Oreochromis niloticus: one gene and its partner. The protein of the gene in region 1 interacts with the protein of each later gene in a pairwise test. Links are inferred from orthologs where the notes say so. Each region holds a gene or a part of one and is shown in the gene's direction. Other genes may lie near its edges.

The links.
Region 2: the proteins of dzip1 (region 1) and ppp2r5a interact in binary tests that used the Homo sapiens proteins (3 or more experiments, as listed by UniProt). The link is inferred for Oreochromis niloticus from reciprocal best matches to the Homo sapiens genes DZIP1 and PPP2R5A.

Annotation. Positions count from the first base shown.
Region 1 is NC_031986.2:5,484,499-5,488,417, forward strand, and holds the start of dzip1 (cilium assembly protein DZIP1), read left to right. Parts: upstream 1-1,471; 5' UTR 1,472-1,586; intron 1,587-1,966; 5' UTR 1,967-2,078; intron 2,079-2,645; 5' UTR 2,646-2,790; coding exon 2,791-2,793; exon of another isoform or gene 2,794-2,835; intron 2,836-2,991; coding exon 2,992-3,594; intron 3,595-3,919. UniProt on the Homo sapiens protein: Molecular adapter that recruits protein complexes required for cilium assembly and function to the cilium basal body.
Region 2 is NC_031980.2:13,647,073-13,650,991, forward strand, and holds the start of ppp2r5a (serine/threonine-protein phosphatase 2A 56 kDa regulatory subunit alpha isoform), read left to right. Parts: upstream 1-1,136; 5' UTR 1,137-1,252; intron 1,253-1,849; 5' UTR 1,850-2,038; coding exon 2,039-2,186; intron 2,187-3,919. UniProt on the Homo sapiens protein: The B regulatory subunit might modulate substrate selectivity and catalytic activity, and might also direct the localization of the catalytic enzyme to a particular subcellular compartment.

The DNA of each region.
Region 1 (3,919 bases):
CGTTTTGCAGCGTCAAAGGCACCTGCGGTAGCACCCAAAAGGCAGAGGAAGATGCTAACCATCGCACAAAAAGTTGGATTTCTGGACATGCTAAAGGAAGGTAGAAGTTACAGTATTTTTCGAACCATAAGGCACGCCGCATTATAAGGCGCATTAAGCAAAACAAAACAGTCAGATAAGTCAAACTTTACTCAAATCATTCTTCTTGCTTCCTCTACTTCCGTACCATTGATTCATCAATATTGAATTCTCTGCCAGCTGCTCTATTCCCGTGTTCTGGACCTGAAAACAGGGTTTGATCTTTGGTTTCATTCTATAATACTGGACTTATTTTTCTACGAAGGTTTGAATTTTGAGAGTGTTTAAACAAGAGAGAAAAGTGTGAAAATGTTCAAGCCTGTCTGAGAAAAGTGTATAAAAAGTGTAGTGAGGGGTTTTACAGCCTTAAAACATCTATAATAATTGTAAAAAATGAAGCTGGCTACTTCGCGGATTTCACCTATCGCTGGTTATTTTTAGAACGTAGGGGATACTGTATACTTATAACCTTATAACACAAAAACACGGGTAAAGAAGGAGGCAGGAACTAACCAAGGAAGGAACACAGAGCCACAAGGAACACATTTTTGGATGACTCAGACAATAAATACACTGCAGACAATGAGGGTAAAATAAAACACGTGGGAAACAGTAGAAACAAACCAGGGATAACGAGTCAGAGAAGGTTAAACTGAACATAACACACACACACAACATAACATGCAGACTAACACAGAGACGTTTAAACTTGGCACAGACAAAAAGGTCAACAAACATGAAGACATGATTGACTGAGGAGATTTGGCACAGAAAGACCAGACAGATGATGACTGGGAACTAACAAAACTATACATAACAAACGCTGGGCAAAGGACTAAACATGAAAGGAGGAGGTGGGGGGGTATCAAACCAATAACACAAGTCTATAAATGTTTAGAACATAAATCCCTTAAAATCAAAGACAAATCATTAACTCACAAAACCAAAAGACTTTGAGTCAAAGACCCAGGGACCGTGGTATATGTTGCTTTATAACCTGTCAGCTGTAAATACCTCACATGGAAAAATAACAACATTAACGCATCTACGAAGTCTAGCTAAAATAACAACGATCACGAGAAGTTCAAATCCGCTTGAACGTGTGTTTTTATTTTTTGTTCCTTCTTCTTCTATGGAACTGAAAAGAAAGGACGAAATAATTCAATAAAGAAGCAAACAAAAAAGGCAAAAGGAATCAACCACAAGGTGGAGCAAGCCTGGCATGCTGTAGGTTAGAGGATCGGAAAGTTTTCAAAATCTTCACATGCATCTATACATGGTGCGTTTGCGTGTAGATGTGCTGGTGCCTCACAATTTCTTCTAATGTGCTCTCTTTTTATGTTTTTAAATGTGTTTAAAGTTATTTCCTTCTGCTGAAGTGGGACGATTCTACACCCCTATTCAGCCCCAAATTGAACAGCTGCTCCCTTCCCCCACTTCTTACTGCGAGATGCGTCAAACTCACGGCGGATCACACCGGAAATGATGTTTACTTCGCCAAAGTACAGGTTCGTAGTAATTCTTGGAAAGCTTTGGTGTCAAAGCTCGAAATAGACTTTTCAGAGTGACAGATGTGTTTCTACTCGGATCAGTGAACTGGAGTTTCCGCCGTAAAATAAGACATGAACCTGAATTGAATATCGCTATAAATTAAAAATGTAAATCATAAAAATAAAAGAAAATGAAGGCTCAGTCAGGAAAAAATCTGAGGTTAAACATATAGCATATGGCTAATGTTTGGGAACATTGTACTACTGCGTTTCTGTAAAATGAAATAAAAAGATTTAAATTTAGCTTAAACTTTGTCTGCTGCATTGGCGTTTTATTTTAAAGGCAAGCGCCGGAAGTGTCGTATTTATTACGTCTGTCTTGACCGTTGTCTTTTCAGAGCAGGCATTTAGGAATGTGGAAACCAGCAGCTACGTTACCCTCAAATCCCCTAGGATCTCGTCGAAAATAAACTTTTTTAAAGGCCACGAATTAACATCACAATCTTCCAGGTAAGTTATTTTTCATGTGGTAGTCCAATGTCAAACTCAAGATTAAACATTCACAGTTGTTAGTGATGTGTAATAAGGTTTAATATTGACTTAAGAAAAATGTCCGTTACCCAGACAGGCAGGCATGAAGGGATTTCAAAGAGTTGTTCTTTTCTTTAGCTAGCGGCTTGACTTTTCGGAGAAGCTATTGTGGTCTTTCTTTTTTTTTTCTAAAACGTAACTTGAAGTCTTAAGAAGGACAAGCTCAAGCATGTCTGCTGTTGTTTGACTTGAGGTCAAGCAGGGGAATAAAACAAAAGCCTGCCCGAAGTTGAAATGACTGTTTAGAGACGTGACGGCAGATTAACGGTATTTGCTGTTAGCATGGAAAACGTTTTCCTGAACCTCCCTCGTGCTCCTCCGCAGGTACGTTAGCTCTCCTTTTATTCTGTTTCACACCGTTTAGACGGAGGTGAATGAGGAGACTTTGTTGTACAGTATAAGCTGATATGTACTGCAGGTTACAGCGCACTGTGAACTGTGTGGACACGTTTTGTTGGTCGCTGTTTTGATAACGTTTCTCCCCAGGGACGCTCGCCGCTGTCTCCAAGGTAACGGGGCGGACGCCTAATCTTGCTTGTCGCTTTGTGCTGCTTTAGCAACGGGGGCGGAACCGGAGAGGAGTGACGGCTCTTCGATCTGTTTCTCCGAGTAAAGGCAAAACCAGTCGAAGATGGTAAGGGCGATTGGCTGTGTGAGGACAGCAGCAGCAACATAGGTAGAAGGAGGCAGAGCAGGAAGTGGTGGAATCTGTGCTCTGCCGTTACCCGCTGAAGCAGATGCTTCTTGATGTCTCTCTGTCTTTCTTTCTCTCTCCTAGTGATTGTATTTGATGCTAATGTGACTCCATCCCTTTCTCTCCTCTCTTTTTCAGCCATTTCACGAGGGAGTCTACTACCCTTACACCAGTGACACCCAGGGGAACCACTCATCAGCCGGGATCCCCTCTCTTCTGAATTCTCCTCTCAGCCAGAACATTGTAAACGGCCACACAGCATCATCCGCACCAGGCATGACTCCGTCCAGCACCACCTCCACCTTTCTCCCTTTCAAGTTCCGCCCACGCAGAGAAAGCGTGGACTGGCGGCGGATCAATGCAGTGGATGTAGACTTAGTAGTGAGCCAGCTGGACGTGGATGCCCTTCAGGAGCACATCAGCATGGTGACCTTCTGTAGCTTGGAGGGGGAGCGATGCCAGCGGTGCCAGACCCCCGTGGACCCAGCTCTGCTGAAGCTCTTGCGCCTTGCTCAGCTCACGGTGGAGTGGCTCCTCCACTGCCAGGACTTTCTCTCCCTCAATCTGCGTGTGGCGGAGGAGAGACTGTCGGCCACCGGCAGGGAGCATGAGCAGCTGCTGGTTCAGCAGAAGAAGCAGGAGGAGAAGGTGAAAGCGCTGACTGCAGAGCTCAAGCAGCGAAAGAAGGTTATTCGCACCCAGCAGTCGCTGCTCGCCCCACGAATCATCAGCAGCCACAAGGTACCGTTGACAGGCTAAACGCTTTCTCTTTGAGGGCCATTGGAGCTGTTTGAATTTAATATATGTGTGGCAGCGGACATCCACCCCCACCCTCTTTTTTCCTCTCCTCAGGCCCAAGTCTGTCATTGTTCCTGAAACCTATTCACATGTGTGGCTTTGTGCATTTCACAACAGGGTTTCAAGGGAAAAAAGCAAAGCTTTTAGCATGGCCCAAGGAAATTTGCAGCTCTGAAAGCAGTTGTTATGTCCTAACCACAGTCAAGTTCTAATAATCTTTGTTTTCATGCAGGAAAAATCAGACTTAAAGCTGCTGAGCAAATGGTGT
Region 2 (3,919 bases), on another chromosome or scaffold:
TTTAAAACAATGTTTTGGATCCTTTTTTTTTCTAATGAAAAACTTGTTAACACTTACTGTTCCATTTCCATTATAATAGCAAATACATTTTCAAGTTAATAGATTTACATTTGTAAATTTGGAATTTGAAGAGGAATAAGGTTGTATCCATAGGGGGGAAGAAAATGGTAAAATCTACTACAAGATTAATATAAATAGATTTAAAAAAAAAAAGAAAAAGATAAATGACAATAATTAACATTGAGGATGTTAATTATTAACATCTTTATACAATCCATATTTAGAATTAGGCCAAAGGTTTCAGGACTTAGATCTATGGCACTCTTTTTAATAATTTAGGATATTTAGAATACATTCTTCTAGATTTCTTCTATGTTACTTTTGATGTAAGTGTAGTGATAAAAATAAAACTTTCTTGTCTCTATTACAGACAAAGTAAATGTACTAAAATAGAAACCTAATTTCCTGTGGAAAGGCCCTTATTTTAGGGTTTATACCTGTATTTTATAAACACACACAGCATGTAATGAGGAATGCATCGGGTTAGGGCGTGATACAGGCAGGGCCAAAGAGTGGTGTGAATTCCTAAATAATACAGTTTTCCAGGGTGGAATGACTGGACAGCATACGTCTTTAATGACTTTAAAAAACAAGAACAGGGTGCACAAGTTTGAATTTATTTTGGATTTTCTCTCTGGGGTTATGAGTGTACATACAGGCTCAAATATACACTTAAATCTTTTAATAAGTTTTCGGTGGGAGAAACGTTTCGTCACTCATCCAAGTGACTTCTTCAGTTATTTGTTATCGGAGTTTTTCCAAATGCAATATCTCAGGATCTCTTTTTTTTAATCCTAAAACAATCTGTGGCTTAAAAACTGAAACTATAAGTGGGATAATTCTTTAAAAAGCGCAAAGAAACACGCGGTGACAAATTGAACTCTTATTATATTATCTTATTATTATTTTCAATGTATTGCTACGAGACGTGTCTCAGTTTTTGTTCAACACCACTGCCTGTACAGCATCACCTATTTGTTTTCACATGTCACATGTTCAAGTCCCGCTTTCTGCGCGGCTTGATTGGTTTAAAAAGTTCCAGTTTTTTGAAATTTTCGCCTCTGATTGGCTGTTAGCAGCGTCAATCAGTGACGTACCCCTGTCAGCGCTCCGCAGTCAAGCTCACAGACACACAGTGACGGAGCGGCTGCACTGGGAGTGTTTACGGCTGCCTGCCTCAGCTCGACATCCAGTAATTTGCTGTTTTTGACAATACTCGGTCTTTATCGAGGTCGTGCTAGCGAAACAGTCTCACGCGATTCACTCGGAAGTGTGACGAAGGGTGAAATTTCTCTTAGGTGGATGAGGCTAACTTTCAAGCGCTAAATGAGTCGACGAGCGAAATTTAACTTCATCGATCGCGGATAGTTTTTTTCTCTCAAAAACACACTCAGCAGAATTCTGTCTAGGATTAAACCAGTGCTCGGAGACGCGGAATTTGTGTTTTAACGAAGAGCTGCAAAAAATTAACGGGGCAACTTTCTTTCGTAACTTTTTCCCCCCTCAGCAGCGGTGCAAATTGTTGTAACCGTCAGCTAATTTTTAGCAGGCTAGCTAACTGTCAGCTTAGGTCTACTGTAGACAGCTTCAATCCGGCAATGCATCTCTTATGTTTTGCAACAGGTAGACGTTTTTCGATCACAATGCAGCAGTAAAAAATGTCAGAAATTTAGGAGCTTATTCTTGTCGTGTTGGTCGCTCCGTGCTGTGTAGTGCGGGCGGTGTCGTGTGACTAAATTCGGCTTTTTTCGTATTTTGAAGACTGTCCCCCCTCCTCTGTATTTCATAGAGCAAGATAATGATGCAGTCTTTGGGCACAGCTTAACCTCCGTACCGACCGACCATGTTGGATCATACAAAAATAACACAAGCCTTCTGATGTGAAAAGGGGAAGGAAGCTTTTCGTATGACCTAGGAGATACAGTGCAAAAAAGTGTCAAGGTAGTTTTTTTTTTTTTTTTTAATTTTATGCATCAAAATGTCGGCCATCTCCGCATCAGAGAAAGTGGATGGGTTTACGAGGAAGTCCATGAGGAAGGCACAGAAGCAGAGAAAATCCCAGGGCTCCTCTCAGTATCGCACTCACACCGCTCCGGTCGAGCTCTCCCCGCTGCCGCAGCTCAAAGGTAAGAGGATGAAGGGGTCCGCCGCTTAAAATAGTCTGCCTGTCATGACCGCTGTGTGTGTGTGTGTACACTGTCGGATCCACTGCAGGTACACTGTGCATGCAGCCAGAAATGCATTGCACATTTTAAAGCTGGTCTGTATGCAGAAACCTGCCAAAAAAATGAAGCACATCTATTAACACTTGCAAGCAGCTTGTAAGAGTTGACCACAGGGTGTTTGAAAAGGCTCTGTGCCAAAGTGTGTTAAATTGGTTTTGTATTCTTGGAGAGTTTTGTCAATAGTTGTATTAACATCTCTTGATCCATTGTTTTGTTTTGTTTTGTTTTTGTGCTTGCTGGATGTTGTGTAATGACAAATGCACATCTCCAGAGCCATGTTGTCCGAGTGGCTAAGAAGGATTTATGTATTTGCGTCAAGGTGTTTTGAAGGATCAGTGTCTCCACACCTGATGCACTGATTGTAAAATTGAATTTGGCTTTGATATAAGTTTTGATTTGTCATGTTTTTAGTGTTTATTCCTTGTCTTGTACACACACACAAATAGCTGCCTTTTTTTTTTTTTAAGTCCAGCCAGTACAGCTCTTCATCACTCTACCATTTTATTTTATTTTTTGGCAAGCACTGTCTGTGTAGGGCCTCAGTCAACCAGACCATGATAGTCTTGAGGGTTTGAAAAAGAAGGCATCTGGACTTCTTTAGGTTTGTGAAGAGGTTTCGGCTTTCATCCAAGAAGCTTCTTCAGTTCTAAAACAACTGGTGGAGAGTCCTGGGTAATTAACCCCTAGTGGGGGACTGTCCCCTTTGGAGGTGATTCTGAGCGTCATGTTGACTCACATGATCAATAGTGGGTCAATAACCCTTTTGTCCTCACAAACCTAAAGAAGTCCAGTTACCTTCATGCATTGCATTTTCAAGCTTGTAGGCAGCTGGTTCAGAATGGGCCTTTGATGGGTAAGCGTTTGTCTTGCCTGACTTAACAGAATTTTATGTTTTTTCCCTGTTATCTCTGCCCATTTAATAAACAAATATAATTATTTAAAATATCTGTTTATAAGTTTTCAAATTCTTAAAAATATTAAAAAGAATAATACCGGAAGCTTACTAACAGACTAAATTAACATTGTTACTTTGTGTTGCAGGGGTTCATAGTGCAGTATGATAATTTATAAAAACGATAAAGATTCAATTTTTCAATCAAGCTGATGACCGGTAGCCAGACTTTCTAAAGGAGACCTGCTTTGTTTGACATGGGTGTAGCACATTTTCTAATTCCTTCAGCCACCCAAACTGGAAAGTTGGATGTATCTCAGACTTTTAAGATTGTAGCACAATTTTTCTTGCTAACATTGTCTATAAAGCCTGAGCTTCATAACGACACTTCACACTATTCGAGTCAACCACCCCAAACAATGCTGTAAGAGGGGCAAAAGGAAGCACTCTGTTAAAAGCCTTGATAAGTAACTCAAATATGTGACCCCCAAAAAATCTGTAATCTGTTAGACTGCACAAACTGATGAGATGGATTTCGTTGCTCAATTGGACATTTCACACACAGCGGTGAAGTGCTTTTGAATAATTTATGTAATCTGGTTGGAGAGAAGTGTAGTCTGTGGTAAGTTTTGAATTGTGTCTGTGCCATTTATAGAGAGAGCATGAATATTTCCCAAGGATTTTTAAGGTAAATACCATCTTATTTGATATACCAATTGGTAAGCAAGGATGTTCCTGGCCC